7 linked regions of the Oryzias latipes genome follow. The protein of the gene in region 3 purifies or fractionates together with the protein of the main gene of each other region. This does not show direct contact. Links are inferred from orthologs where the notes say so. Each region holds a gene or a part of one and is shown on either strand. Other genes may lie near its edges. The genes, in order: prpf6, cd2bp2, eftud2, cdc5l, tssc4, bcas2 and riok1.

The links.
Region 1: the proteins of eftud2 (region 3) and prpf6 purify together in Homo sapiens (affinity purification with mass spectrometry; 6 studies listed by BioGRID and IntAct, with this or other methods). This does not show direct contact. The link is inferred for Oryzias latipes from reciprocal best matches to the Homo sapiens genes EFTUD2 and PRPF6.
Region 2: the proteins of eftud2 (region 3) and cd2bp2 purify together in Homo sapiens (affinity purification with mass spectrometry; 7 studies listed by BioGRID and IntAct, counting the BioPlex papers as one, with this or other methods). This does not show direct contact. The link is inferred for Oryzias latipes from reciprocal best matches to the Homo sapiens genes EFTUD2 and CD2BP2.
Region 4: the proteins of eftud2 (region 3) and cdc5l purify together in Homo sapiens (affinity purification with mass spectrometry; 6 studies listed by BioGRID and IntAct, with this or other methods). This does not show direct contact. The link is inferred for Oryzias latipes from reciprocal best matches to the Homo sapiens genes EFTUD2 and CDC5L.
Region 5: the proteins of eftud2 (region 3) and tssc4 purify together in Homo sapiens (affinity purification with mass spectrometry; 4 studies listed by BioGRID and IntAct, counting the BioPlex papers as one, with this or other methods). This does not show direct contact. The link is inferred for Oryzias latipes from reciprocal best matches to the Homo sapiens genes EFTUD2 and TSSC4.
Region 6: the proteins of eftud2 (region 3) and bcas2 purify together in Homo sapiens (affinity purification with mass spectrometry; 3 studies listed by BioGRID and IntAct, with this or other methods). This does not show direct contact. The link is inferred for Oryzias latipes from reciprocal best matches to the Homo sapiens genes EFTUD2 and BCAS2.
Region 7: the proteins of eftud2 (region 3) and riok1 purify together in Homo sapiens (affinity purification with mass spectrometry; 3 studies listed by BioGRID). This does not show direct contact. The link is inferred for Oryzias latipes from reciprocal best matches to the Homo sapiens genes EFTUD2 and RIOK1.

Annotation. Positions count from the first base shown.
Region 1 is NC_019865.2:15,463,828-15,467,679, reverse strand, and holds part of prpf6 (pre-mRNA-processing factor 6), read left to right. Parts: coding exon 1-131; intron 132-1,788; coding exon 1,789-1,917; intron 1,918-2,018; coding exon 2,019-2,113; intron 2,114-2,460; coding exon 2,461-2,617; intron 2,618-3,773; coding exon 3,774-3,852. UniProt on the Homo sapiens protein: Involved in pre-mRNA splicing as component of the U4/U6-U5 tri-snRNP complex, one of the building blocks of the spliceosome.
Region 2 is NC_019866.2:3,948,128-3,952,604, forward strand, and holds cd2bp2 (CD2 antigen cytoplasmic tail-binding protein 2), read right to left. Parts: upstream 3,143-4,477; 5' UTR 3,055-3,142; exon of another isoform or gene 2,793-3,054; 5' UTR 2,789-2,792; coding exon 2,714-2,788; intron 2,118-2,713; coding exon 1,988-2,117; intron 1,819-1,987; coding exon 1,661-1,818; intron 1,584-1,660; coding exon 995-1,583; intron 913-994; coding exon 827-912; intron 357-826; coding exon 246-356; 3' UTR 86-245; downstream 1-85. UniProt on the Homo sapiens protein: Involved in pre-mRNA splicing as component of the U5 snRNP complex that is involved in spliceosome assembly.
Region 3 is NC_019866.2:5,479,227-5,482,379, forward strand, and holds part of eftud2 (116 kDa U5 small nuclear ribonucleoprotein component), read right to left. Parts: intron 2,008-3,153; coding exon 1,920-2,007; intron 1,838-1,919; coding exon 1,719-1,837; intron 1,602-1,718; coding exon 1,507-1,601; intron 1,403-1,506; coding exon 1,249-1,402; intron 1-1,248. UniProt on the Homo sapiens protein: Required for pre-mRNA splicing as component of the spliceosome, including pre-catalytic, catalytic and post-catalytic spliceosomal complexes. Component of the U5 snRNP and the U4/U6-U5 tri-snRNP complex, a building block of the spliceosome.
Region 4 is NC_019873.2:1,354,598-1,359,055, forward strand, and holds the start of cdc5l (cell division cycle 5-like protein), read right to left. Parts: upstream 2,917-4,458; 5' UTR 2,748-2,916; coding exon 2,703-2,747; intron 850-2,702; coding exon 746-849; intron 648-745; coding exon 486-647; intron 410-485; coding exon 282-409; intron 174-281; coding exon 74-173; intron 1-73.
Region 5 is NC_019861.2:37,264,111-37,268,717, reverse strand, and holds the start of tssc4 (protein TSSC4), read left to right. Parts: upstream 1-1,623; 5' UTR 1,624-1,720; intron 1,721-3,580; 5' UTR 3,581-3,650; coding exon 3,651-4,409; 3' UTR 4,410-4,607. Other genes in the region: shcbp1 (SHC SH2 domain-binding protein 1), read right to left, coding at 172-381, 1,283-1,415. UniProt on the Homo sapiens protein: Protein associated with the U5 snRNP, during its maturation and its post-splicing recycling and which is required for spliceosomal tri-snRNP complex assembly in the nucleus.
Region 6 is NC_019865.2:942,872-946,936, forward strand, and holds bcas2 (pre-mRNA-splicing factor SPF27), read right to left. Parts: upstream 2,479-4,065; 5' UTR 2,375-2,478; coding exon 2,282-2,374; intron 1,886-2,281; coding exon 1,793-1,885; intron 1,704-1,792; coding exon 1,633-1,703; intron 1,532-1,632; coding exon 1,370-1,531; intron 1,292-1,369; coding exon 1,241-1,291; intron 1,161-1,240; coding exon 1,080-1,160; intron 1,007-1,079; coding exon 880-1,006; 3' UTR 567-879; downstream 1-566. UniProt on the Homo sapiens protein: Required for pre-mRNA splicing as component of the activated spliceosome. Component of the PRP19-CDC5L complex that forms an integral part of the spliceosome and is required for activating pre-mRNA splicing.
Region 7 is NC_019875.2:13,399,456-13,403,990, forward strand, and holds the start of riok1 (serine/threonine-protein kinase RIO1), read right to left. Parts: upstream 3,001-4,535; 5' UTR 2,874-3,000; coding exon 2,821-2,873; intron 1,794-2,820; coding exon 1,607-1,793; intron 1,439-1,606; coding exon 1,348-1,438; intron 1-1,347. Other genes in the region: rpp40 (ribonuclease P protein subunit p40), read left to right, coding at 3,179-3,292, 3,688-3,832, 3,917-3,985, 4,085-4,180. UniProt on the Homo sapiens protein: Involved in the final steps of cytoplasmic maturation of the 40S ribosomal subunit. Involved in processing of 18S-E pre-rRNA to the mature 18S rRNA. Required for the recycling of NOB1 and PNO1 from the late 40S precursor.

The sequences.
Region 1 (3,852 bases), on a different chromosome or scaffold from region 3:
AAGTTGGAGATGCAAGAAACAAGCGTCAAAGGAACCCTCGCCATGAAAAACTCACACCTGTCCCTGATAGCTTCTTCTCCAAGCACCTGCAGAGCGGAGAGAACCACTCCTCTGTCGACCCTTTGCAAGGAGTCAGTAAATACGCGCACACGCACAAGATCCAACTAGAAGCACTGAAAACCATGCATCATGCTGCAGTCCCAGTTTAGTCCAGCAGGGGTCAGGAAACTTCACCTAAAACAGTCTTAGCAACTGCCAAATGTTTATGATACTGCTACTTTGTAGCTTCTGTACAGCAGCCGTGAGCTGATGGGTATTTGGACAGTAACAAGATGGAATTAGTTTATTGGTTTTAGTGCTTTATAACTGCAGTCCTGAATTCAGGCTGTGGAACTGTGGCCCTCCTTTGGCTTGTTCTTCTCTTATTATTCATTCTTATTCTTTCGTGCGTTTTTTTGTCCGTTCATATCTTCTGCATATTTTATCTGATTTCTGCCATTCAAGTATCAAAATGTCCTGCAAATTGAGGACATTATTGCTATCTTCTGCGATTTCTGCTACAACTTATGGTTTTTCTGCAATTCAACAAAATTGCTGCAAAATGTTGCCATAGAAGTACATAGGGGAAGGCTCTTCAGCAACTTCAAACTTACTGCAAAGCTAACTTCTGCATACTTTATGCCGTTCAAAAAATTCAAACATGCATTTGTTCTGCTCTTTTGTAGACTTTTCTGCTGTCTTTAAACCATTTTGGTAACATTTAAAGTTTTTCAAAATTTTAAGTTGTTTGAATTTCAAATATAATGGAAGTCAATGGAGACAGTGCTTCAACTTCTCTGTTTTTGAAATGCATCTCCTCCTATAATTTCTCAACAATTATTTTAATCTGACGTATAGTTGAGACACAGCATCATTTTGTTTGGGACATCTGTCCATCTCAGACTCTGTAGCGTTTGTGCCTACGTAGATGACATATACAGCTGCGAGCAGTCCTGGAATTTGAACCCGTTGCCATGGAGACAGCACTCTCTTTCAGACACGCACAGACACACTGAGACGGGCTTTGCAAAAGTTCAGGGGACCTTTGACACTTTCAATGACACATAGATGTTTTTTTATTCAAAGTTTCAAACACAAATCCCCGTGTTTGGAATAAATTCTGTTTGTATGAACAGCTTTAACTAGCATAGCATTAAACCTTTATATTAACATCATGCTAGCTGTAGGTGCAAATGTAGACATTCCTTTACATTTTTGTTATGTAACCATTACATCTACATTGTGCTGGCTCACTTATGTTAGATCATTTAATTTGACATCTATCAAGGGTTTTCAAGCTAATTTGGCATTTAGCTAAAAATTTTACAGGTTTTTTTGCAATGTGAATTAATTGCAGCATTATAATGGTGATGTCTTCTGCAGCTTGGCAATCCGAAAACCTCTGCAGATTTTACGCAAACAGCTTCAGCAATTTATCCAGCCTTTTTCTTTTCAATACATTTCAGCTTCCTCTGCTAAAAGTTATGCGATTAAGCCAATAAAAGCAACCACCTTTTGCAATTAGTCAGTTAATCGTATATACCCAGGAAATGCAACTTTTCTAGTTATTCTTGGCACATTTTTTGTCATTTTCAGTTCACAGCATAGAAAAGCAGTTTCACACATTTACAGTTTGTTCACATTATATATTCTATCTTGTTACACTTGTGAGGGAACTGTAATTGGAAACCGAATTCCCTGGAACAATAATGCTCCTTCTCTTCTAACATTATTTCCTGTCTGCACTAGCTGGGGGGCCTGAACACACCTTACCCTGGGAGCATGACCCCTGGTCTGATGACACCTGGAACAGGAGAACTGGATATGAGGAAAATTGGTCAGGCCAGGAACACTCTCATGGATATGAGGCTCAGTCAGGTATGCTTTTTGTGTAATTCAGTATGACTTCCTCTTTAATCTGCTTGTGTTCTGCAGTGATATGGATAATTGTTCTGTTGCGTTTGACTTTTGCTGTGCAGGTGTCAGATTCTGTGAGCGGGCAGACAGTCGTGGACCCTAAAGGATACCTCACAGATCTGAACTCCATGATCCCAACTTATGGAGGAGACATCAGGTAACGACAGCGCGGCCGTAACTTCTTTTCTTTTATACGCGTTTGTGATCCCACCATCAGATGTTTCCACTTCCTTGCATAACAGATAAGATTTTCTATGCATTAACCAAAAAAAGCATCGGATAAACCTTTTGTGTGAAAGAAAGTGGGAAAGATTAAATCAAAGCGCTATCTAAAGCTGTGCATTTTTCTAATTTTTATTTTTATTTTATTTGGTAAGTGCGAACTGTAAAGTTGGGGAGATAGCTTCTAAATTTGCATCTCAATGAGTAAGAGGTTCCCGGGAATGTGGGAAGTTGTTGAGATTGTCTGTTTTTGATCATTTGTATCTAACTCTTTGGGTGCAGTGACATCAAGAAGGCTCGCTTGCTGCTGAAATCAGTGAGGGAGACCAACCCCCATCATCCACCTGCTTGGATTGCTTCGGCCAGGCTGGAAGAGGTCACTGGTAAACTTCAGGTGGCGAGGAACCTGATAATGAAAGGCACAGAAATGTGCCCAAAGGTAAATTTGAGGTTATTGCAGGCTTGATCGAAGGGGTGTGACAATCACAGCATCACCGCATCGGTGATGACCGCATCACAGCACGTTTTTTTCTTCTGCATATGGTGTGTGATTGGAACTAATAAACACATTAAACACATTCATCTTTGCTGATAATTTACTTTTTCTGCTAGTCCCGTGTTCAGACTTCAGGGGCTTCTGGGGGAAACCTTTTATTACTGTTCTCCTTCACTCCCTGCGCGGCTCTCACTCCCTCTTGCGCCCCACACGCTCCCTCTCCTTACACACACGTGCGCGGTTTCAGCAGCACATACAAATCCTCATTGTACAACAGAAATTCCGTCTCGCGAGGAAATGCGACAAATTTACTGCGTTCTAATTATTCATTTCCATTACAAGTTGCGTGGGTGGTGGTGTTTATTACTGTTCTCCTTCACTCCGTAACACCAAACACGAACGGGCTCTGTTAGATTTCGATGAATATCACTACATGTTTTGTTTGGGAATTATTTCGTGCAGCGCAAAGTTACGTGTCTGTATAAACAAAGGCGGAGCCTCCCGCCACGTGTTCTTCATGGGTGTCAGGCTTCATGGCTACCGGAAAGGTGACAAAGTGTCTGCAGTCTGTTTATTACTGGGCAATATATAATATTCTGAGAAGATGTCTGTACCAGAGAGCACAGGTGAAGCCTTGCTTGCAGCTCCAGAGCGGTCCGCTGCAGAAGAATTAACACACTTGTGTGCTCCTTCCTCCTACATACGCAGCGTGCTGACACACATACACATAGTCATTCTACAACACCTATATAGTTAGTTCATTAGGTGGATAGGTAGTAGTTAGTGGTTACTGTTATTTGTTAATAAAGAATACTGCGTTGTAATTGTATTCATTTGCAACGCAGCCGCGGGGGTATTTTGTGTTTGGCCGGGGGGGGGTTAACCGCCACACCGCCCCCGCTGCTGGTTCATCACCGCGGTGATCAAAAATCCCACACCGTCACAGCTCTACTTGATCGTCTGTAAAATGTTTTATTTTTGAATGAAAATATTTCACTTTATTGTGGTATCTATAAATGCAAACCGAACTTTCTAGCATTTCAGTTTTCCTGTTCATTTATGAAAGAATCTTTCATGAGGATTTGTGCCTCTCAACCAGAGTGAAGATGTGTGGCTGGAGGCCGCTCGGCTCCAGCCCGGAGACACGGCTAAAGCTGTTGTGGCGCAGGCTGTCCGTC
Region 2 (4,477 bases), about 1.5 Mb from region 3:
TTGCTTCCTTGATTTGAATTTCAGCACCTGTTAAAATATATTATGGTACATTGGATGACCCACAAAATAAAGGAAAGAAACAATATTAAACACAGCAAGTTTATTAAAAACATGCAGAAAAGAAATACATTTAAAACAAATATCATGTTTTTCAAATTAAAGAAGAGACAGGGAAGACTTTGAAAGAATTATGGGATAAACAACACCAAACTGCAAAAATGATGAGGATCATTTATGGCCATAATTCATGTGTAAAGATCAAAGTCTATTCTTCTTGAGTTGTAGAACTGAGACCCTTCCTGGTCGACCCTCCTGCAGTACACGCCGTCGCTGAAATAGCCTTCGTCCACCCAGCCCTGGAAAACGAACAATAAGAAGATTAAAACCCCACCAGGTCCAACTGAGGGTCAGAGCTACTTTACAAGTCAATAATCTGGCAAACACGGTGGGATTTACTGCTATCTTTACAGAAAGAGAGCAGTTAAAATTCACTTAAAAAATAAATAAACTTTAAAAGGTAGACATAAAATGCTGCATTAAAGCTGCACAGATTTTATCATTTTTTGTAATAATGTCAATTATGACTTCACTTAAATATCATTTAAACATATTCTGTATCCTGATTTTATTCAAAACAATGTATAGGAGTAACAATAATTACACAATTCTTGTACATTAGGCGTCAAATGAACTATTAGCTGACAGATATAGACAAAGACACCACTTTCTAATTGTTTATATTAAAACACAAAAGGGAGATTAACAGTTTAATTTTGCACAAATCCCATAAGAATAATTCTTCATGTACAAATTTGAGGGGAATAACCTGCATCTGCTGGCTGGTGAAGGGGCCGTAGACCTCTGTGTTTTCCTTGTTGTCCCATTTGTACTCCCACATCACTTCATCCGTCACTAAAAGTTCAGAAAGATCGATCAAATAAGTTACATTGCATGTGACGACAACCGAAAATCTTCAAATGTTTCGCCAAATTACCTCTTTTGTCTTCCTCATCCTCTTTGTCTTCTGATTTTTCCTCAACTTTCTCATCAAATTTGTCGCCAAACATGTCGAGTTCATCCTCATCGTCACTACACCTGGTTCTCTGCCTGTCTGCTGGCTGCTTGCTCGTCATCCTCTTCATCAAAAATCCTAGTTTCTCATAAGTGTGCTGATAGATTTCAAACATCCCTGATCCAACCAGTCTGTCAGCGAGAGCTGTGAGCTTATCCAGCTTCTCGGCATCTCTTTTGTTCTCCTTTGTGGGTTCGTTCTCTTTCCTCAGCTTCCCCTTCTTCCCCCCAAGGCCTCCTAACCGACGGAGCGCCGTAGCAACCGTTTCTCCGGGTTCCAATAACTCAACAACAGCTTCAGTGAGCTGATGCTGCGTGTAGGATGCCAGGGGGTCCTCTACAGGTGTCTCCTCCTCCTCCTCCTCCTCTTCCTCTTCCTGATCACCCTTGTCTACTTGCTTTTCCTCCCTCCGCTTTTCCTCCTCAGCCTCATCCTCATCACCAGCTCTGCGCACCCGCTTGGCTCCCAGACCTTTCTTCTTCTTTTTGAAAGGCTGCTCTCTTATTTTTACCTGTAATAAAGGAAGATGTTTCATTCATTCTCTCTTGACTGAAAATACGCCATGTATGTGTTCCTAAAACTAGTTACCCAGTCTATGTTGTCTAGCCAGTTGTCTTTAATCTCTTTCTCCTTTTTGATGAAATAGTTTCCCTCTGAATCGAAGTGACCTTCCTCCATCTCCTCTTCTAGGTTAAAAGGTGTAATAGATACTCCCTCATCATAGTCGATAGTTGCTCCTTCTTGACCTGAAAACACATTTTCTGACATTAAAACAGCTTCCAGGGAAAGTTTACGAAAGCACTATTAGCATAAAGGACTACTTTGTGCAGGTAAACAGATATTAAACATCTTGGTTTAAAATTAAAGCACCCTCACTTATATTATTTTTCAAAACAAACAAAAAACAAGGCTTACCCTCCACATCATCGCTGGCTAGAATGTTGTATTTGCTGTGTTTTGATTCTCCTCCTTCGTCCTCTTCATCACTGTCTAGTGAATGTTTGCCCTTGAACCTGGAACCTGGTCCACTCACTGCCTCACAGCTCTGTTTCAACAAAACAAAGTCATAGGGATGGCACTTAGAAACAAAAGCGAAACAAATGTATTTATTTTGTGATCGATGCCCCCAAAAAAAGCATAACCTAAACAGTAAAACAAGGTCATGCTTCACCTAAAAATAGGTGTTTTTATTCTTTTACATTCTATCATTTCTCAGATAATAAAAAAATTACACAGGTCTGCCATATTTTGAATTAAACAAAGTGTCCACTTAAGCTAAAAATAATCTCAGTTCATAAGTTACTGGAAAAGATTTCAAATGACTAATAAAAGTTATAACTTATTAGTTATGCAAATGCCGTTTTAGAATATATCAAAATAAAGTAAACATCTTTAAAATAACTGTACTAATATTTCAATAGAATAGTGGAATGAAAATAGTGCATCAAATAAAGGCCAACAGCTCATCATGAGGAAAACACAGAAATGAATGACGCAGCACAAAACTAAAATAAAACACGCGGCACTTAATTAGTACCAATACGTAACAAATGATTACTTATATAGTTTATCCAGATCAAAATTCAGGAAATCAAAGGCTAAACTTTTTTAGCAAAACCCTGACAGATCCTCCGGCTTTACCTTCTTCGTGAGCCCGTCGTCTTCCAGTTCAAACTCTTCGTTCCCGTCCTGAAATGTCACTTTTCTCTTCGACATGGTGCTGGAGAAGACAACAGAGCACCACTTTTATCCACGCAACTACACACCCACAAGTGACTGTAATAACACGCACGTTATTAGCTTTGCAGCTAAGTGTTAGCAAACAACAACACGGAGAGCATGCAGAACAAGTAAACGCCTCGCCACCAACTGCGACTCGATATACGAAAGGCATTCAACATTATGTTGGTCAACATAATGTATAAACAAATAATAAGTATAAATGACACAATAGAACAGATAGGGAGAGCGTGGTAAAAAACCTGCATAAATTGTCAACGTTCGCTTTCGCTTCTTGTTTGACGGAAATCTAGATTTTATTGTTATTCAACAATGGCGGAATGACGCAACACCGCCACCATGTGGTGTGGAGGGTAACAGCTGTTATTTTCAAAGATAAAAGCGTTGAGGCTGGCTCAAAAATTACATTTTGTTTAGGATTCATTCATCTTTTGTTATCCGTTTTTTTTAGCAAACTGTCTTTATTTACCACACCCTTTTTGAAAAACTGCAGTTGTGAATAGTTAAAGCAGGAATAATTTTCTGTAAAACTGTTAATAAATCTAGAAATGAGAATTCAGAGAAACAATATTCGATTTCAGTTTTGCTCTTTCAGACGTCATTTTGAAAACTACACTTTGAATAGAGCTATGTTTCATTTTTGTAGATTTAATGCTTCTCCCTAAAAGCCATTAATGCTATTGAATTTATAACTAAGTCTTTTTATTTTATCATTTTTTAAAATAGCTCTTTTTTTATTTGTGATAGCACACAAACAAAATAATTATTATTAGATCTGCATTTTCAATCGTTTGCATTTTTAATCTTTTATTGTATTAGTTTTTAAAAGCACATAAGGAAAATGCACGGGATTTATGCACAATAGGAACCTTATTAGGAAAGCTGCTCAATTTAAAAAAAGATTTTGTTATTTTCCATGGCAACAAACACAAATCCTTACCAGGAGTTGAAATTATTCTATAAATATAGAATCAGAAGCTGATCTAATTATAGCTTTAAAAAAAGTGGAAAAAAAACCTAGATCAATAAAAGTGGTGCTGTTTTTGACAGGGAACTGAATCTTTTCAGTTATTTTCCATCTGCCCACAGCAGAGTCAGTCGCCTTAAAAGCAATCATAAGGAAATCACATCATAAAAGAAATAAAAGGAGAAATGATGGAGCCAAGGCAGTCAACTCCACCACAGCCACTAGAATCTCACTTCTTGACAGTGAAGCAGGTCGCGACTGCTCAGTTCCCAGGAGCTCCGGGCAGACTCAACAGAGAATATAACGTGTCAGGGTATTATTACCAGGAAGTGGGTTGAGTTATTTATATTTAAACGCTCGTCCTTCGGTGCCCATGAGGGAACCAGCTTTAGTAACTTAATGCTAAATATGAAAACATTGTCTGGGCTGGTCGAATCAACCTGACAGCAAACAACCGCCTTCATATTTAACAACAACAAAAATTAAAACATAATGTGTCGATCTGAATAATGAAAGGACTGCGTGGGAGGCCAAAGTGACCCTTACTGCTTGACAAAAGGTAAGTCTGAGTCAGCGCTGTCAAATCTGCAGTGATGTGAGCAGCCAAGAAAAATATTGTGGTTTTGGAAATGTGCTGACATTTTTATTGTTTATTATGAGGTACTTACCAGGTTTAAAATAAATGTCGTTATGTTGGA
Region 3 (3,153 bases):
GCACGGCCTTCTCTGCGCCCCACAGATGACTGAGTTTTCAGGGAAGTATTAATCGTCCTTAAGTGGAATTAGTTTTCACCGACACAGCTCTGCTGAGCACCGTAACAAACACGTGTCACACTGAGACAGACATGATACTTTGGAAGTCGTGACTCAAAACTGCTGCGCTCGGCATCAGAGCAGCTCGGCGAGAATGAAAGACAAGTTTGAAATGCAAAAGAGGACTGTTTTTATGAGTTTGAAAGTGAACCAGGACCAACTAAAGTATGGAAATGTCCAGGAACTTTCTGCTTAAAGACCCAATCGGGTGAAAATTGTGTTCCTGTGGCACTTTTCTGACGATGGAGGACATATTCGAATAAAATTTAAGCTCAAAATTGCATTTCTGAGAATTTCTTGAACAAGGGATAGACAGAAAATGCCGTTTGAAAAAGATTGTATGACGTAGAAAATACACTGGGAGGGTTGCAAGCTCCCTGCTGCAAGCTCCCTGCTGCAAGCTCCCTGCTGCAAGCTCCCTGCTGCAAGCTCCCTGCTGCAAGCTCCCTGCTGCAAGCTCCCTGCTGCAAGCTCCCTGCTGCAAGCTCCCTGCTGCAAGCTCCCTGCTGCAAGCTCCCTGCTGCAAGCTCCCTGCTGCAAGCTCCCTGCTGCAAGCTCCCTGCTGCAAGCTCCCTGCTGCAAGCTCCCTGCTGCAAGCTCCCTGCTGCAAGCTCCCTGCTGCAAGCTCCCTGCTGCAAGCTCCCTGCTGCAAGCTCCCTGCTGCAAGCTCCCTGCTGCAAGCTCCCTGCTGCAAGCTCCCTGCTGCAAGCTCCCTGCTGCAAGCTCTCAGCAACGGGGAGGTGAAAAGAGGGCGAGGTTTCTCCACGGTAACGGTCCCGCCCACAATTCAGAGGTGAATTTGTCATGAAATACTGCTGCTCTGCAGCAATTATGTCATAATCATGATTAAAAAATCACTGGGGACATTGAAAATAAATCAAAAGACGGACGATCGGAGCGGATTTTTAAACTTTTCTTACCCTTTAGTCTCTTGTTTAAACTCTCAAAGTTCAAAGCTTCATAGAACTTTAAGTCCAATTTTTCTAGATTAGAACCAAACATCGGGTCACGATGAAAGATTTTTGTAAATTTGATTGGAGTTGTCTTAGCCAACTAGCCAATTAGGACGCAGAAAAAAACTGCAAAATTTGCATTTAAAAACATCTGACATCAGCATTTTCCAGAGAGGGTTGGGGTCCATCAGGTTACCTGCCAGTGGTGGAACACAGACAAAGCAAAAGCCTGGCCCTGCGTGTGAGTGCGGAGGTCCGTCTCAAAGCCAAACGAGTCGATGGCGGGAATAAAAGCCTTAATCGTGTAAAGAGGGGAGCCGGGAATCGGAGCATCTTGGGTGACGTGGCCCCTAAGAGAGGACAAACAGAGCAAGTCAAAACAGATAGTAATAAAGAAGAATTATTTTGTAACTTCAAGTGACTTTGATCAGCTCTCCAGGGTTAAAGGGCCGACCTTCTTCGAGCCAACACTGTGTAGACTGCCGAAACACAGTCTGCTGGAGCCTGAACCTCCACAAAGTAGTACGGCTCCATCAGCCTCGGCGTCGCCTGAAAACACAACAAACTTTCTTACGTAAGGCTGACGATGCTAAAGAGCTAAAGAGGAGGAGGACAAAGGCAAAAAACAGCAACATCCAGTTGTAGGAAGCTTCAGTCCGAGCTCACCATGAGAAAGGCAGAGTACACCACTCTCCTGGCTGTGGGGATGACCTGACCTCCTCCTCTGTGCAGAGGCTCCTGAGCGATCACAGCATCCAGGATCTTAAACTTGACATTCCTGATGGCTGAGAGCATCACAAAGACAAACGAGTTCATTTCAGCTTTGCTTGTCTGTGGAGGAAGTTCAAACACAAAGACATGACTTACGTTCATCACACAGGGGGCCCTCCCTGGTTCCCCACTGAAACCCCTGAACGATGCTGTCTTTAACCGAGCCGAGCAGCGCCTTGTCCACCTAAAAAAAAAAACAAAAAAACAACGTTTTTGTTTAAAAGTACAGCTTTTAATGATTAGAGCTTCAATTAACACCCAGTTAAATAAATCTTATGTCTCAATCTCAGCCGTTGGAACAATCAATTTTAGGTTTGGAGTAAATAAAAGACATACAATTACATCAAATAAAAACTCTGCAGATAGCAGAAAAAAAACAGCATATGTGCAGATTTGGCTCCAGATTATTTCTTTGCTGTTCCGACTAAAGCAAACAATAACGTTTTATTATAATCCAGTGTTTACGCAGACAAAGTACATCCACATTATGTCAGCTCTATCTGCTTTCTGCAGCAGATTGAGCTCATTCAGACAAGCAATTAGAAAATATAACAAGACAGCAACAACATCTGTGTTTTCTCTGAGTTTCCCGATGGTTTGTAGCTGTGTGGAGTTTCTTCCACAATCAAGAGCTTCAACGACTTTACTTGGAGTCAAGTTAACAGATCCATCGCCAAATTGAAATTTTCCACTGCCCCCTTTTTCTGGCATTTATTGGCACATAAACAAACGGCTGTCCAGCACTTATTTTTCTTATGGCGTCGGTTTCTGCCGCCTAAAATGTTCCTCCTGAGACGGACCGGCTGGTGACATTTCCTCTTCTGCATGAGCCGCTGTATTGACCTGCTGAATCAATACAAGCTGGAAAAAAAGGCTAATTTGCCCCAACAGCTGCACAACAACAGACCCCGCTAAAATCCTTTAACGAGAATGAGCTGTAGCTAAAGAGCTCCATGGTTTCATATAAAAAAATGCAACTTTTATGTCATCTTTTATGTTATGAGTTCTCATTTGTTCTTTAAAGTAGATTTAAATCGGAAACCTTCACATGAATTTATGGTTTAGAGCAACGGCCCCCAGGCCAGGGGACCGTTCCTGTTTCGTGGGACAGCTGGTATCAGACTGGAAAGAAAGAAAAAAAAAAAAAAAACACCCAACCTACATATTTTCTGTTTTATTTATAATTTTATTCTGAGGGAAGTTTTACTGAAAACTGCTGGACTCTCCCCACCACATCCAACAGATTCTAGGCACATGTCAAGTAGCAGTACTTTATTAAAGCCGCTGCCCCCACCGCTAAATAGAAACCCCCCAGCTAGCAAAGTCAAAA
Region 4 (4,458 bases), on a different chromosome or scaffold from region 3:
CAGAACCAAGTCATACCGTGTTATTTGATCAGGAAACAACAGCTTTGGAGGTTTTCATCATATGAAGGATGACCTGGCCTCCTCCAGCTGTTTCTCTCTGGCCTTCCTCTTGGCTTTCTTGCCCTGTGTGTTGGCCAGGCGAGCCCTGGCTTCAGACAGCATCTCCAGCTCGTCTGCAAACACAGAAGCACAGCTGCTCCTTAAAGGCAGACTTCACAAAGTTCCACAAAGAATGAGAGGGCAGTTTTCACTGTAGCTGCAGAGCTGTAGAGATTCTGTACCTTCGTCCATGTCCACGGGGTCCGGTCTGGCAGGTTTGGTCTCAGGATTTGGGTCGATCTCTCCTGGTTTCAACTTCCTCGGATCATCTCCCACCTCTTCCTCATTGTCTCTCTGTGCAGCTTTGTCTCTAAACAGAAAGCCCACCCCCTTCACACACACTCCACCACCTGGTTATGGTCATTCCAGAAGAAAGTCAGACTTACAGCAGGTACTCGTAGTGCTCCAGACACTGGGCAGCAGTACGTCCTATGATGGGAGCGATGGTCCTCCACTGCGTCGGCATCAGCTTGGCCAGATGAAGCAGCTTCTCCTCCTCCTCTCTGGACCACTCCGTTTTCTTAATGCTGGGGTCCAACCACTCGTACCTGCAGACATGCAGGGTAAAACAAAATCCATCCGTTCATCTGCCTATAAAGCTGCCACCATTATGAAAATGGAAGATGTGTTTCGGCATCAAACTCACCATCTGGCTTTGCACTGTTTGGCAGACTTGCGGTGCAGCAGGGAGGCGATGCGGGACCACTGGTTTTTCCCATATTTCATTACCGCCGCCTTGAGGATCTCATCCTGAACAAACAAACAAATAATCAACAAAGACTTCACTAAACAACAAACGACTTACTGCTTTGGTTAGCAGTTGTCATTTTATGAATCAATGAATCACGCGCCTTATACTGTCTACATTTAACAGGTGAGCCCTGCCCACCCAGATCCATCCTGCAGGCCATAAATACATTACATTATCTCCTAATATTAGTTGCCATTAACTGCCCGTGTTCTTTTGTATACAGTGATGAAAGTCAGGCAAGGAAAAAATCCCTGAACTTTTCTTTGAGCGATATGGCGGCGCAGAGAGAAATTTTTGAAAAATACATAGTCTTAGATGCATTCTGGTGCATTCTGGCAGCTCGTTATTCACTTCTTAATCAAGAAACTAAGACTAATTGGAGCATCATCATTTGTCATTCAAACCCCTAGTTTGACTTAACATTAAGGACTTCCTGGTCCTAAAAAAGAATTTGGATCATTGCTCAAAGTATAACAATCCTACAATCTAAGCTTTTCCTAAAATCTGCAAAAGATACAATTGCTAAAATATAGTAACATCAAAGCCCCAAATGGCAAAAAGAACACCAGTAACTATGATATTCTATGAAAATACCTCAGTTATTTATACATTATTTCTGCTTTAGAAATGACTGATGTACAACATTCACTTGCACTGTTTTCTCAAACTATAATTACATCAAAATATGGGATCTGCTTTAAACTATAATTCTATAACATAATACATCAATTCTTTAACACCAATACTAAGTAATCTGGGAAATATCAAAACAAACATACAAACTAAATTAAATATTGTAAACATTATTTTTTAAGGGAGTGCGGGTCCAAACCATCAAATACTTATAATTAATGTCAACTATACTGAACTAAATCATGGTAATTAGGAAATACAAATAAATTAGATAGAGAAATGTATTCAAAATAAAAACTGAAACTCAAAACTAAAACTGAAATTATTTCTGAATTTGGTTTTGAGATTATTTTACACAAAAAAGTATTTGACCTACACTACCTTAAAAATATTTTTCTTCCAGCCAAGACCACTTCAATTTGTTTTTTATCGTCTTCTCACAACTGAGGTCGTGACCACGCTCAATAATGACGATGCCTGCCATTATTTTAACACAAATTTGATCGCAAACTCTTTAGATTTGTTTGTGAAAGTTTAGCGTGGGTCAGCCAGTTTTGGTCTCTAGGGAAGCAAGTCACGCTGACCACGTGGTGCAGACAGAGCCAATCAGACCCGTCGACGCATCCGAAAGCAACTAAAACGTCCCGTCATTGGTCAATTAGGCCGGGAAGACGAGAGATGGCCGCGACCATATAGGAAGCGATCCGCGGAGAAATATAGAAAATAAAGCTAAAATTCGCCGATTTCAGACCATTTTTTCATCCGGAAAGCGATTTGTCCGTAAAGATCAGGTCTTTATTTCCCGGAAAGTACGTTCGGTTTGCTCAAAAACCCGGATTTCCGGGAATTCCCGGAAGACTTTCATCACTGTGTATATAAATAAATAAAAATAAAAATTAAATAAAAAAGACATGGATGCTGATCTGCCTAAAGTTTCCCGGCTGCAGAGCGAGCAGCAGCAGCAAGTCTCCTCCCCGTGAAGAAGGCAGCGGACGTTCAGGACTAGCATAGAGGAAGACGGCTGCAAATGTTGCACTTTCACCACCTTCATCACCTTTTCCAACTAAAAACATCGATATCAAAAGTTAAATTCGCGGACAAAAGAGCGTGTACATAAACGTGCTGTGGAGAGTACGGCCTTTAGCTTTATGCTAACCTCCCGCCATTGGTTTAGGATTAGCCTAGGAGCATGCTAACAGTTAGCCATGTAAACACTTACCTCAGTGTTACGCCAAACCCCTCCTTTTATCATAATACGAGGCATCTTGATGGCTTGTTTTTGAATTCTCCGTCAACAAAATTAAATATTGCTTTAACACCCGCTATTCAGTCTAGCAGATTTTCCAGTTCTCCCTAAAAACTAGCAACACTACGAAGGAGAAACGACATGCACGGATACACCGGAAACTGTATTCTTACAAGTAGTCACCGAAAGGCACTGTGGGTAACGTAGTCTTATACCATGACTGTCTCATATGTATATATGTTATTTTAGGAAGCAGGAAAAATAATTACTTTGGGTAAATCTTAACCCTCCTACCCTTTTGCTATTAGTAGCAACAACAAAGCTGAGAAAAATGAGTCAAATGTCCCCAAAAATGTGTTTCTTACCAGATAAAATGACAAAACGGAAATCTAATTTAAAAAGATGTAATCATTACAATGTTATTTATTTTAAAAGTGTTCCATACATAAACCGAATACTACATACTTTGTAATGGTGCAATTATAAAACCTCTAAATAATGTCCTGCCTTCGCCCAACAGGAACCGGGATGGGCTCCGGCAACCCCGTGACCCCAGCAGGTCAACAAAATAGATGGAAGTTCAAAACAGAAGCGCTGGCATTGGATGTGTTCTCTACCCGCTGATTGTTTCACTGAAAACGGCACATACCCAAAGCTGAGTCCCTGATTGGTAAATGCGATGATTCTTAGGAAATATTTGCCCTATTCATTTATCAATTCATTATTTCTCATTGTATTTCCCCAATCAGTTAGGGGGGTCGGAGGTGTGAAAGAAGTGGGGGGTTGTGTGTAGAAGGGGGCCCTATTTTTCAATTTTTGTGACATTCCCATAAAAATTAGCGAGCTTCTAGTTGCAAAATTCTTTGCACAGGAGCTTGCCAATGACGACCGAGAAGTTAGATGATCGACGAAAATACCTTGTAGTTTTCGTGTGTAGCTGCTACTACAGGTTTTTTTCAAAGACCTCTTCCCGAGGCTAAAGGTCGACTTTTCTCATATTGTGGAAAAACATGAAAATTGCCACAATTTTGCCACAAACCAGCTGCCAAGCAGTGGGTTGTGTGGCCCACAATAATTTCAAAACGTCCTTTGGATATCCCCGACATGTGTTGTATGGTTTCCTTAGTGTATTTTGACTGTTTTTGTGCCTCCATTAGCGATTTTCGGCTCATTAATTTTTTATTATTATTTTTTTTATGGTTTCGCTTGCCATGCTGTCATCGACTTCATTTTTACCAGGTACTGGCGGTCTGCAAGTTTTGGTGAGTTTTCATGCATTTTTTTCAGAGCGGCTTTATGTCAGATCCAAACACTAAACATGAAATTTAATTAGTTTAATCACCTTTTAAATGAAAAAAGAGGACATGTAATAAAAATGTCAAGAACGTGTGAAAAAAAATGTAGAATAAATCAGCAAAGCAGAGTTTTACAAAATAAAACGTCCTTCATAATCAGATAAAAAATAAAATAAAAACACTGCCAAGTATGTATTTTTTCTCTCTGCTGCTTGGTACCAAGTGACCAGACTGGTACCAGTACTCATGATAAATCAATGAATGGATCAAATAGTTGGATCTGGTGGATATAACTAGTTTCCTTTTCTGCTTTAATGTTTGATATCAGAATAAACAGGCAGGTTTTAGGAGTGATGATCTTTTTATTTCAACTGGATATCTGAGGAACATCTTGATTAAATTCACAGAAATGACACCAGGCTGCTCATATGTTC
Region 5 (4,607 bases), on a different chromosome or scaffold from region 3:
TCTGACCTCCAACCGTTTTTATTTTGAAGCCTCTGCCTAAGCTTTGTCATCACTGTTGTGAACAATAAAGTTTGAACGCCATCTGCAGCTCTTTCTACACCGTCGTGGGTGTTTTGCATGATTGTACTGTAATATAACCGCCTCCATGCGAGCGTTGGGGTCCCCCGTTACCCAGCATGTAGTCCTGGTACGCCTTGAACCTCTCGTAGAACAGCAGGCTGCCGGTCTGGAAGGTGTCCGGCAGAGTCGCTCCTGACCGCCGCTCCGACCTCTGCAGCTGCGTCCCCGACCTCTCAGAGTTCTGGTGGTCTGTCCCGCTGTCGTCGTCGTCATCCTCGTCTTCGTCACTGACGTCTCCAGCATCATCGTTCTGGAACAGAGCTGCAGAACCCAGCGGAGGTCATGAATGATGGCTGTGAAAGTTTGTCCAGCGCCACTTTTCAAAATAAAAGACTGTTAATGCTTTTTTAAACTTTGAAGGACTTTAAAAAAAATGTTTGCATTGATTTAACTCATTTATAAAGTTATTTTGCTATTTTAAAAAATATGCTTTCAACTCTAATTTTAATAATAATTTCATAGGCATTTTAAATGTTATTTTTGTCCTTAATTGCTGTATTTTTAGTAAGTTAACAGGTTTTAAGGCTTTTTCCGGTCCTCCTGTGTCAAAATCCTCATGAAAGCAGATATTTTCTCTTCTCTTTTATTTAACAATCTGTTAAACAACTTCATAGAATCAACAAAAGAGTCACAAATACTGTGTCTACATACACAAATAAATGAATTTATTTACACCCCCGTTTTCCAGGTGTCAAACTCCAGGCCTCGAGGGCCGGTGTCCTACATGTTGTCCAACCAACCTGCCATGAAGCACACCTGATCCAGGTAATCAGTAGCAGATAAGGCAGGATATCTTAAAAAAAAAAAAAGAAACAGTCTGACACCCCTTTTGCGGTCTTCTATAGGTATATTTTGTTTTTGTAATAACATAATTGTGTTATTTGTTTATTTCAACATCCGTTAATGTCTACTCAGATGAGAGTGAAATATAATTATTTGTCGTATTTGGGTTAAGTTTGGAAAATCCTGCAAGATTGACAGTTCCGAGAATGCAGCTCAGGCTGACGACATATGAAGACGCTGCGTTCACAGACCGCCGGAAACTCGGATAAAAAGTCTGCTAAATCTCCAAGCTAGCAAACCTCGACGGCAGCGGTTAGCTTGTCTCATACACCGACTCGGAGGAAAGAAAACTCAAACCAAAAACGGTAACGTAACAAACCTTGCGCTACATCCAATAAACCGGGTCCCGCGGAGCAAACGCTGTCCGTCTCGACCTGAGGATCCAGATCGACCACCACCAAGTCCGACACGTCGCTGACGGTACACCCGGTTTCCAGGGCTTCGAACTCCATTGAAACGCTCGCCAGAGTCTCGGTTTAACGGGATTAAATGAGGATCACGCGGCACTTGGAGCTTTGAAACAACAAGCGGAGTTCTGAGCCCACGCCCTGACACTTTCAAAAGATCCCGGTCTGCTGCAGCTCAGCCAATCACAGCAGGGAGCTATATAAAGACCCGCCCTTGTTTTTTTACATGCGCGGATCGGCTCGGTCTGCAGTACCACAGGACAATCGTTAGGGGGCAGTAATGACGTAAACATTACACGATCTACCGTAGAAGAAGAGGGTTTCGGCCGGCGGTCTGCGCTATTTCAAAGGTACAAACGGGATTTAAGTCAAAACTACGCGTATTATATAAATATTTGTCATGTAAACAACAGCGCATTTCGCAGCTCTTTTCGGCTAGACAGCATTTTTGTTTTGTTTATAAGCATTTGTAACGTTGTTAGCATGTCGCGCTACTACTAGCATCGTGCTACTTAGCATGCTAACTAACTTCAGTCTGAATCTTGTTTTTACGAAGTCAATATTCCGAGTTATTTTTATTTTTATTGCCAATCTTTTTAAATAAAATCAAAACAAAAGCTTTAGTTTTTTAGGCACAAAAAAAATTCATATATGAGATGAAACAGATGTTTTAATTCATGCGCTGTTAAGGCTGATGATCATGATGATGTTATTATTGTTGTTCGCACGTATTTTTACTAGAAAACAAAGTTATGGAAAACATATTTAAAGTTAAAATCCCATTAACTGTGAGAAAATTGTACTTTGATCCTGGAGGAGCGGAGAGCTGCAGAAACAGCCGCTCAGGAACCAGGGGGGTATTTTCTTTATTTTTAGCTTTTTTTTTAATTGAAAAAACACTTGAGGTTTACAATTTGTAACAATTGTATACAATTATGACAAGTATAGAAAAGTAGAAAAAGTACAGGACATGAACAAACAACATAGGCAGGATAAAATAAAAATATAACAATAATACCGAAAAAAAATTAAATAAAAGAAATTAAAATAAAAAGGGGGTCACATAGACATTTTAATGATTCTTGACTTGGGGGGTTCTCAAAAAGCTGCAAGTTACATATAATACTTTGAAGTTCCATAGCAAGTTTGATTTCCATGAAGTTTGCAGATGAAAAAAAGAGCAGAGTTCTTTATGAAATGTAAAAGAATATGGTTGGATTTCAAGGAATTGACATTTATGTATATAGAATTTACCCAAAATAATTACAACATTTAAAATAAGTTCTGTGTTTTTTTGTTTTTTAAATTAAACCCAAAAATGATGTCCTTAATAGAAAAGTCTGCTAAATGTGGGATTTGGGGGAAAAGCCAATAATTCCAAAAGACATTAGAGTCAAAACATTCAAAGAAAAGATGCTCAGTTGTTTCAATGTCATCATGACAAAAAGAACAGCAGTTTTCAGGAATTCCAAACCGTTTTCTTAGTAATTCCTTGGAAGGGTAAAATACCTGAAAAGGTTTTAAAATTGACTTCCTTGGCTTTAGGAGGGATGGGGAGTTTGAAATATTTGGTTCGTATTTGTTTCTTTTCTGAATTATTGAAATATTGGGTTATATAATTTGAATTTGAGATGTAGGGAAAGGACGTTTCATTCAAATATTCTCTGATTTGATGGTTGGGGAGTTTGAGTTAGGGTTACCAAGTCCAGCGTAATTACACTAACTCAAATCTGGTCATACCGACATACCCAGAGTAAGCAAGTTCAGGCGGATTTCAGCCAGAGTTCAGGCTTAAAGTCAGGCTAGTTTAAACGTGCTTCCTGGATACCTGCCTGAACTTACCGAAATCCTAACCTTGACCCTTCCTGTGGGTCCGTGCAGCCAATGACAACGTTCAGCACTGGCTGCACGTGCGCATTCTTGTAATTATTGACCTTTTATTGGGTCATTATTTCAAAACATTTATTTCAAGTTTGTTTTGAATTGAACAGAATTAGGACTTAAATAATTATGCTTGCTTTTAAAATGGATGTAAACATAGAGGATCATTATTATTTTACAGGTTATTTCCAAAACCCTCATATTTACTGTTGGATGCTCGGTGGTCCGTCCTCACAGGTCCTAGCAGCTTGTTGTTGTTTTGGTAGATGTTAAAACCAGTCCATGCAGGTTTGATGGGGTGGCCTGACCTTTGGTGTCTTCCTCTACAGTTTTGGGGTTCCCACCTGACCGGGTTTGTCTTCCTCGCGGCTCGGGGTTCGGCTGCAGCCGCGGCTGAAGATGTCGCAGCAGAAATGCGTCCAGAGCTGCGGCGACGACCAAGAAGGCTTTGAGCTGTCGGCCAGTGACGAGTCGGAGCCCGAGGAAGAGCTGAGCCGGGCGCCCTTTGACCCGGAGCTGGATGACAGCGACGACGGGGGCGAGGAGGCGTGCGCTCTCGGCGCCACCCGCTCAACTGCGAGCACGTTCGTCTTGAGCGGAGGGAACTCTGCGTTCTCCGACCGCAGCCGCAGCGTCTTCGACTGCCTGGATGGCGTCGAGAGGCAGACGGCACCTCTGCTCCCCGAGGAGAGCATGCCCCCTCCCAAATGTCCCCCTCCTGCAAAGAAGAGGGGGGTCCCGGACTACCTGCTGCACCCTGATCGCTGGACGCGCTACAGCCTGGAGGACGTGAAGGAGACCACTGATCAGGAGAACCGCAGGGCGGCGCACAACTTCCTGTCCAGTCTGCGGCCTGAAGAGGGCAACCGCCCCCCCGGTGAACCCCCCCACGACCAGCAGCAAAAGGTGGTCTTCTCTAAACCCAAACGAGCGTTCAAGGAAGAAATCTCTGAGTCAGACCAGCAAGGAAAGGAGAAGAGACTGCACCTCAGTCACCTGGCTGAGGAAGAGGAGGAGGACAACAAGGCTGCTGGAAAGACCCAGCAGGATGCAGAGGAGGTCAGAGACCAGCAGGAGTCCCTCCCCAGCTTCACCCCCTTCAAGAAAATGAAGAGGAAGAGCTACAGAAGGAGCTCGGATCACAAGGATGAGTGCTAAAATGCTCGATTTGATGCTGACTTTGTGCTAAAGCTGGAACATTTGATGTTTTATTCAAAGAAAGTTTGACATATGAACAAACTATCAATACAAACCAGGCTGAAAAAAGCATGAGAGTTTGGTTTAGTGACGTTTCATGAATTCTTTCTTCATAAAACTAACGACCAACAATGCTGCAGTTATCTTAGCAGAGCAGGA
Region 6 (4,065 bases), on a different chromosome or scaffold from region 3:
CATGAGGATCTGTCCTCCAGCACTGTATCCTCTGTTCTCCATTGCCTGAGACATTCACTGAGGACACTGTCAGTTGGGGCCTTGAGCTTGATGTGTATATATATATATATATATATATACACTAATTAATTTCAGGATAAAAGCACCTCCATTGCAGCTTTACTTCCATTGTGAGTTAATGTTTTGTGAGTTTTTGGGTTGTGAGTTAATGTGTTGTGTGGTAAGTTAATGTGTTGTGAGTTAATGTGTTGTGACCTTTCTGTGCCACTGACCAACAACAAAGATGAAGACTCATCCAGGAAGTCATGGAAGACGCTGAGACTTTTGAAAATGGATCAGCACAAAATGCTGCAGATTTCTGAGATCAAAGTTCAGTGGATGTACAGAAGACAGGGGATCTGACACAAAACCGCCTCACTCTAGGCCTCAGACTTTAGGTTTCACTGTTCTTCAAGAGGGATGAATGACAAACCATCCAGCTGCTCCCATCTGTTAGCTTCCAGCTCATCAGCTGCAGCTCTGAAGCTCAGAGACTTACAGGTAAAAGACTGAAAAAAATAACAATGTGTATGAAACGTTCATTTTATTAAAACGATAAAAAACAAAAGTTGAATCAAAAACAGGATTTTTTTTCTCCACCACAACTTAGAAACTGTACAACAAGCTACAAAGACATCGATCATGTCGATCGATCATGAGTTTCAAACCATGATTTGTGTGTAACTGAACACAAAAGACCCAACGGTTCCATCAGAGGAAACCGACGCCTTTCAAACATCATCCGTCTTGGAGTCGAGTGACCCGCTACGCTCCAGCAGTCATCGAGTCGTCCAAACCAACCGAATCAGATCCATCCAACGGATCCCGGTGAGGTGACTCCTAAAAGTCCTGTCGGATGTTCTCCTTGTTCTCCTCCCCTTGCTGCTGCCTCAGCTGAGCCACCTCGTTCTCCAGCTGGACGATGGCGCGCTCGATCTCATAGTTTTTACTGACCAGCGACACCCAGCTGGCGGGAATCAGAACCAGAGTCAGACATCACCCCTCATCCACGAGAACACCAGAACTTAAGAAGAACCTACTTGGACTCCAGCTCTCGCAGCTTGGCGCCTGCAGCCAACTGATCGTTTTTGCGCTGCCAGTTCAGGTCCTGGATCTTCTTCCTGCCGGCATAAGTTCAGAAATGTGTAACCATGGTAACCGTTGGATCTTTTCAGGCATGTATGATCCAATCCTCAATCACCTGAACTTGTGGAGTTCCTTTTGAGCCAGCTCAATCAGGAAGGCCAGATTGCTGAAAAGGGACAACATTAGCTTTGAGTCTTCAGAAGAGTCAGACACCAAAGGGTGAGACCCACAGGCCGCCACTCACTCGTTGTAGACCTTCCACGCGTTTGTTCCATAATGCGACATGAGCTCCAGGTTCTCGATCCGGATGGCCTGGTGCTCCAGCTGGGCCATGGAGTTATTGACACACTCCTGCCAGGCGGTAATGTCGTTCTTCTGTCCCGATGTGGGGGCTGGAAGCTCATACCTCCACAGCAGAATAGAATCGTTCTATGGAATCACCCTAAACTTTCTCTTTCTTTTACATTTACAGAAATATTGTACAGACAGACAGAGTGTGTTTTTTACCTCTTCATGCTGAGGAGGTCCATTGGTTGTCGAGCGGCTAATCGCTCAAACTCATTCCTCATGATTTCTGTCTGAAACCCAAAACAAAACGGGAAAGGATTATAAACCGGTTAGCCAACCCAGACTAGGAATCAAGTTTCAAATGTCTGCAGGTTTTCACCTCAAACGGCGAGAACTCCGGCATGGGCAGGTAGCTCAGGTAGTTCTTAGTTGGGCGATACCTTCTGGTCTCTTCTTCCACCAACGCAGCGGCCTGAAGGGCCAAGTACAAATGATTTCTCTCCATTTTTCATACAAACATGATTTAAAAATGAGCCACAACCCCTGATGATCTAACATGTCAACTTAGTGTCACCAAACCCTGGTTCTCCAGATCTGCCGGCTGTTTCAAACCCCTCAGCTGTTGTTTTACCCGATGAGGTAAACAGCAGCTTTGGCTTTGAAGGTTTTCATCCTAAATTATGAACTTGTATAGTTTCAAAGCAGAAACCTATAATGACAAGATCTAAAGAAATATACAGGCGATCATAATAATAATGGTTTGGCCAACTATACATTGAACGGCGCGTTACCATGCGGCATCGCTAGCTAACAGTTCTAACTAGCTATAAGTTAGCTAGCTTTTAAAGCAGCATTCTTGTTTACCCACCGCTTCTCTGACACCTGGTGCGTCATAACCTTGATCAAAATACGGCAACGCATCAACAAACACTTCGCCAGCGACCGAGGCCGTTCCAGCCATGTTCGCTCCCCAGTAAAAAAAAATAAAAATAAAGAAAGAAAGTCCTTTTCTGCTAACAGACTCCAAACGGCTAATCAGAAACTTCCGTTTCCGGTCAAAACTTTCCGAAATAAAAGTCTCAACGGTGTTGTATTAATCGTGATTGTCGCCTCTTGCGTTGAGGAATGGAACTGCAGCTTAGTAGATAGATAGACAACTTTATTTATCCATTTGGGAGGTTCCCGCATGGAAATTGACATCTCCATCGCATACAGCACTGGTTGACATACATATAGGAAAAAGGAAAAAGCAGCACAGTGACTAGAAAAATGAGGAAGATTAGAACAGTAAAAAACAATTTAAATATCTGCAAACAGTATATACAAAAAAAAAAAAGTGATTCAGGCCCTTTCCCTTTCCTTTCTGTCCCCCTCCCCCCTCCTAAGTGGTTTGATGGCCCGGGGGTGGTAAAGAGTTTGATGGCCCGGGGGACAAAGGAGTTCCTCAGTCTATTAGTCCCGCACCTTGGGAGGAGCAGCCTCTTGCTGAAGGTGCTTCTCTGGCTACCGATAGTCATGTGCAGAGGGTGGCTGGTATTGTCCAGGATACCTGTCAGTTTTTTCAGTGTCCTTCTCTCTGCCACAGTAGCCAGACGGTCCAGCCTTGTGCCAACCACAGAACCAGCCCGCCTGATCAGCTTCTCCAGCCTGGAGAAGTCTGTCTTTGAGGTGCTCCCCCCCCAGCACACCACAGCGTAGGTTATTACACTGGCGACCACAGACTGATAGAAGATCCCCAGGAGCTTCTTGCAGATGTGTAGTGTAACAAACTTCAGGTTTCAGCTATTACTGCACTACAGTAAACCTTTAAAGAGTTTCATATTAAATTTCAACAAATAAATGCTTTTTTTATCTTTCTTTTGTTGTTGTTCTAAAAAAATATATAAATAGCTTTTTCTTCTGATACAAATGTGATCAATCTTGTAAAAATACTTCATCATCACTTCAATATTTTTTTTTAAATAATGTATATAAAATTATAAGTTTACGTTGAAGGCATTTCATCTTAACAATACAGAAATAATAACCAAGAGTAAATAGCCAAGAAAGGGGAAGTACTGGTATGTGTATGCATTATAGTATGTAGGGCCGCACAATATGAGGAAAACTCGCTATATGCGATATTAGTGATCAATATTGCGATGAAGATATAACTTGCAAAAAATGAACAAATAGCAAAAACAACAAAAACATTTCCATTTCCCTTCAAATGTTTAGTATAAATAAGAGTCAAAATACCTTAAATTTATCTTCCAAATGACCCTCGTCTAATTAGTAGGGCAACATCTAACGTAAGAGCTCCATCCGATTGGTCAACAACGTAAAGGGCTATATCTGATTGGTCAAATGCATAAAGGGATTTAGTTAATTCATTAAATAGCTAAAGTTACCATAAGATTGTTTTAGCACATTTAAGGTTTACCATTTATTGTGATTTTCGCTGACTTTTGCGATATGGATATTGCACAGCTTGAAATCGCGATAACGATAAATTTGCGATTAATTGTGCAGGCCTAATAGTATGTTTTTTTGCGTGTGTACACGTTGCAAAACCAAATTAATCCTAACATCTGGGAAAACAGGATCAGTTTCTGGCCAAGCTCCTCCACAGAATAACAGAAAAAAATAAATGTGCAGATTTGATTCAAAAAG
Region 7 (4,535 bases), on a different chromosome or scaffold from region 3:
CGGAAAAAATATGAACAGACCAAAAACTGGAAAGAATTGGAATATTAGATCTTCAAGAACAGAAGACATTCCAGAACAACAACAGACGTCGTAGAGCAGAACACCCTCTAAAACACTAGACATTCTAGAACAAAAGATATCTTAGAACCAAAACCTTCCAGAGCAGAAGACTGACTAAAACAGTTATTATCAAGAGCAGAAAATCAAACTAGAATCCACTCGAAAACAAAATCCATAATAGAACAGCAGACTTCATAAAATGGAAGATAAAAAAAAAAGAATTTCCAAGAACAGAATGTCTCCCAAAACAAAAGACCTTCTAGGAACGGAAGACAAAGTAAAATCGAGGATCTCCTGAAACAGCAAAACGACTAGAACAGTAGACCATCAAGAATGGAAGACCTCAAAGAACAGAAGAACCAAAAAAGCTCTAGAACAGAAAACCCATTAGTCCAGAAGACAATCTTAGAACATAGGTCTTTTAGAACAAAGACCTTCAGACTATGCGACCAAAACAAAAATCTTTGCAGAACAAAATGTTTTCTGGAATTAAGACTTTCTGGAAAAGAAGATAGTAGAATAATATCTATCATTGCCTTGTTTTTTAACCTATTTATGTGTTTCAATAAAAATGCTAATGTAAACAAAAACATCAACAAAAACAGTGGTAGGTTAACTTTCTTGTATGAAATTGTGTTTGCCTCTAAAAATAAACTCCATCTTCTCTCATGTAGAGGAAATCAGGGCGGGGCTAATACTTTTTCACACATCCATAGGAGATTATTCAGAACTATCAGCCATCTTCTTACTGGAGATTGTTTGACCTCACAGAGGGGCAGACACTTTTTAAGGTCACACCATGTCGGACAGGAAAACCAGAACTAGGGCTGCACGATATGAGGAAAACTTGCGATATGCGATATTAGAGATTAATATTGCGATAACGATATAATTTGCGGTATATAAAAAAATAGAAAAATGCCAAAAACACCATTCCCATTTGATTAGAAACAGTTTAAAATTACACTCCAAATGACCCTCATTGACATAGGTGACAAACATCTAACATAATAGGCCTCCATCTGATTGGTAAACAATGGGAAGGCGTCCATCTGATTGGTCAAAGCATAAAGGGATTTATTTGATTCGTTAAATGCTTCAAGCTGCTAGAAGATTGTTTTAACACATTTTGGGTTTACGATTTATTGCGATATTCGCAGTCTTTTGCGATATGCCTATTGCAGAGCTGGATATTGCGATAACGATAAATTTGCGGTATATTGTGCAGGCCTAACCAGAACCCTCCACAGCTGTGGTCTATGCATGTGAGTGTGCACGTGTGTGTACCCAGGTTGATTTTGTGTTCGTATTTCCTCAAAGCTTTGTCAGACGGGGTCGAGGACGAGATCATCTTATTCGACGGGTTCTGTCTGTTTGCCTGAGAACAGTGACAGAGAAACAAAAGGGCAGTGGGATCAGACTCATTATCACTGATAAATAATTCTGAACCGTGACCGTGATGTGACTTCTTTAACTGAAAAGGAACCAATATACCCTAACTGACATTTAACATGGCAACTAAATTTTAATGTATCTGGATCAGAACCTGGCAGTTGAGGCCGCTCCGGTTTAATCTGCTGGTCAGATTGGCAGCAGAATGGTACGCCCAATCCTCTTCATCATCCTCATCATCATAATCATCATCCACTTCGTCCTCCTCCTCATCACTGTCGACCCTCTGCGCAGCGACATCATTGATGAGGCTTGGTAGCAACGAAGGCTCTGATTGGTCTCTGCAGGAAACAGAAAAAGACAGACTGAGAAAGAACCAACAGGGAGGAAGAGTCCAGACCCTCAGCCAATTACAGGGAAGATATGTTCAGGTGGTGTTTGCACCTGAAAATATGTAGCCACAAGGCTACATGAGTAACACTCGAGCAGATCACTTTTGTGGACAAAAACATGTATTTGTGTAGGTAAAATTTGTGCACGTCGCTCTAATCTTGTGATTAGGATTGAAGGCAAAATAATACCAATTATGGTCAAAAAACACATTAAAATCTCTTCAGTTCCTCTATCGTTGGTCCCAAACATGGCTCCCTACTTGTGACAACATTTTCTAATGCTTACACGGCATTAAAAATCTTAAACTGCCACAAATGGATGTTGTTTTGTCAGTGGGTATGAGGCTTTGATGGTTAGAAAAGTCCAAAAAATAACATCTGAACTCAAATAGGCATAACTGTGAGGAGATACAGCCCAGAAACCTGGAGAAGACCCTCTGGAGAGAAGGTACTTGCCCCATTTGGTTACCATGGTAACAGAGAAGGCATCATCTGTCCTCCTGCACCATAAAAATCAAAGTCTTTGCAAGACCCAAACCACAGGAGGAGACAATTGTTCATGAAACACTGAGGATTTTGGATCTTCTGAAAGCTTTGGCAGTCATTTCTTATGGGATCACAGAACCAGGCCGTAACAGGTGAACCTGACAGAAGACACTGTTCTGCTCATGGGGTCGGTTCTTTCTTTTTGGCAGGATGATTTAGGTTCTGACCCGGATTAGACACTCACTGAGGAGCTGGTTTTGGCCTTTCCAGGTGCTGACTAAACTAAACAAGCCAGTCAAAATGATTCATCAGAAATGTTAGTACATGGATAATCGACTACTGGACCACTCAGAACTAGCGTTTGGGCTTGGACCCATACGACCTTTTTTCTGACATGGGGACTAGATTTTTTCCTGACGACACAGACAGAGCGACAAAGAGAACCAAACCAAACCAAACCAAACCAAACCAAACCAAACCAAACCTTTACCTGTCTACCTCAGCGTCATCAAACTGTCCAGGAACGCACGTGACCTCCTCCATGAACCCACAGCCCACGCAAAGTAATCCCGCTGTATTTGGTTGATAAGAAGCCCACCTTCACCGGGCCGCCTTGTTCGGGTGGTATAGAAGTCAACAGCGTGCTGCTCCTTCAACTTCCGGCTCTGATCACGTGACTACGGCGAACAAGAGGGGCCAACCCATTGCGGCTGCGCAGTGCTGCGTTCTGACCAAACCTCCATGTGTTTCAGTTCGCTTCCGGGTTTCTTGCCTTGCCTCCTGCATGCTTTAAAGTGAGAACATTTCCCGAGGCCCCGTGTCTGAGATCGTGCAGGAACTGCATCAGGATGCAGGACCTGAGCCGATGTCCTCGGAACCTGCTGGTCTGTGAGCGGTCCAGCTTCCAGAACGAGAAAAACAGGGTCAGCGCACAGGTGGAGCAAATGCATTTTAACTACAAGGTGAAAATTAAAATATTCAAGTCCGCATGTGAATTAGTTTAAGGAAGCAGAATGATGCATCCTCTTGACAAACTGTTTTTGAAGGCAACATTGAGAGATATATTCCCGTGTTTCTGAAGGCAGCACCGAGGGACATGATACTACTCCTGTCCCTGAAGGCAGCAAAGACTGATGATCTTAAGTAGTGCTTTTAAAAGCAGCATGGAGTGATGTTAAGTTCTTGAAGGCAGCATCAAAGTATATTCTTCTATGTTTAATATTGAATCATAGAGACTGCTGATTGGCCGTTCCGTCTTTTATTTTGGCAGGTCTTTGCGAAATTCAGGAAAATTTAGTTAAAAATTGTGACCTGTCACTGAAACAGCCACGATCTACTGCTTCCTATGCCTGTGCAGGTGTCTCTGCTACTGCCTGATTGTAGCTCCGCCCCCTCCCATCTGGATGAAACATTGAAGTCATTCAACAGTTTTTACCTGATTAAGAAGCTGCCCATCTACAAGCTGCTGAATGAGAACTTCCTGCGGAGTGCCATCTACAACGGTAACAAAACGCCCGTCTTCACTAAACCTAGCTGAGACCTGCTCTCATCTGGTCACATGACTCACCTGTTCCTATGTGCTGCAGGCAGCGTGTATGGTTTATCCCACCAGACTCGCATCGACGAGGATAACTGTGTCTCCCTAATGCCCAACGGTAAAAAGCATCACTTCCTGTTTGTTGTGTGGATCTCCATGGTCAAATGACCCTTTTCATCTGTTCTTGGATCACATGATCTTGTCTGTCTGTCCTCAGGTATCTTGACCCTGTCCCTGGACAAAGACTCTTTTGAGCTGCTGGGCTTCGAGGGGAAACCATCAAGGTTTAACCACAGGCGTTGCAGCAGATTTGGTTTGTTATGCACAACTTAACAATTTCTAAAGCGTTAGTTCACAACGAAGGTGGTGTCAAAGCACTGAGGGGTTTGCTGTGTAATCCCTGTACTGAGCAAACAAAAGCGGACAGTGGAGAAGGAGAAATTGGTGGAAAACGAGGAAGAAACCCGTTGCAGAACTAGATTCCATAAAACCAATCATCTGCTGTGACTGATTGGAGTCTGAAACTACTGGCACACTGGTCTTATGATGCACATTCTTGAATGCACGTTTAGCGCATGGCATTCACACGAGAGAAGCTGGGAGGGGCCTCTTCTTATTTTTCTTGTTCTATTTACTTCGCCACCTACAGTTGGAAGAGGCTTGGTGTG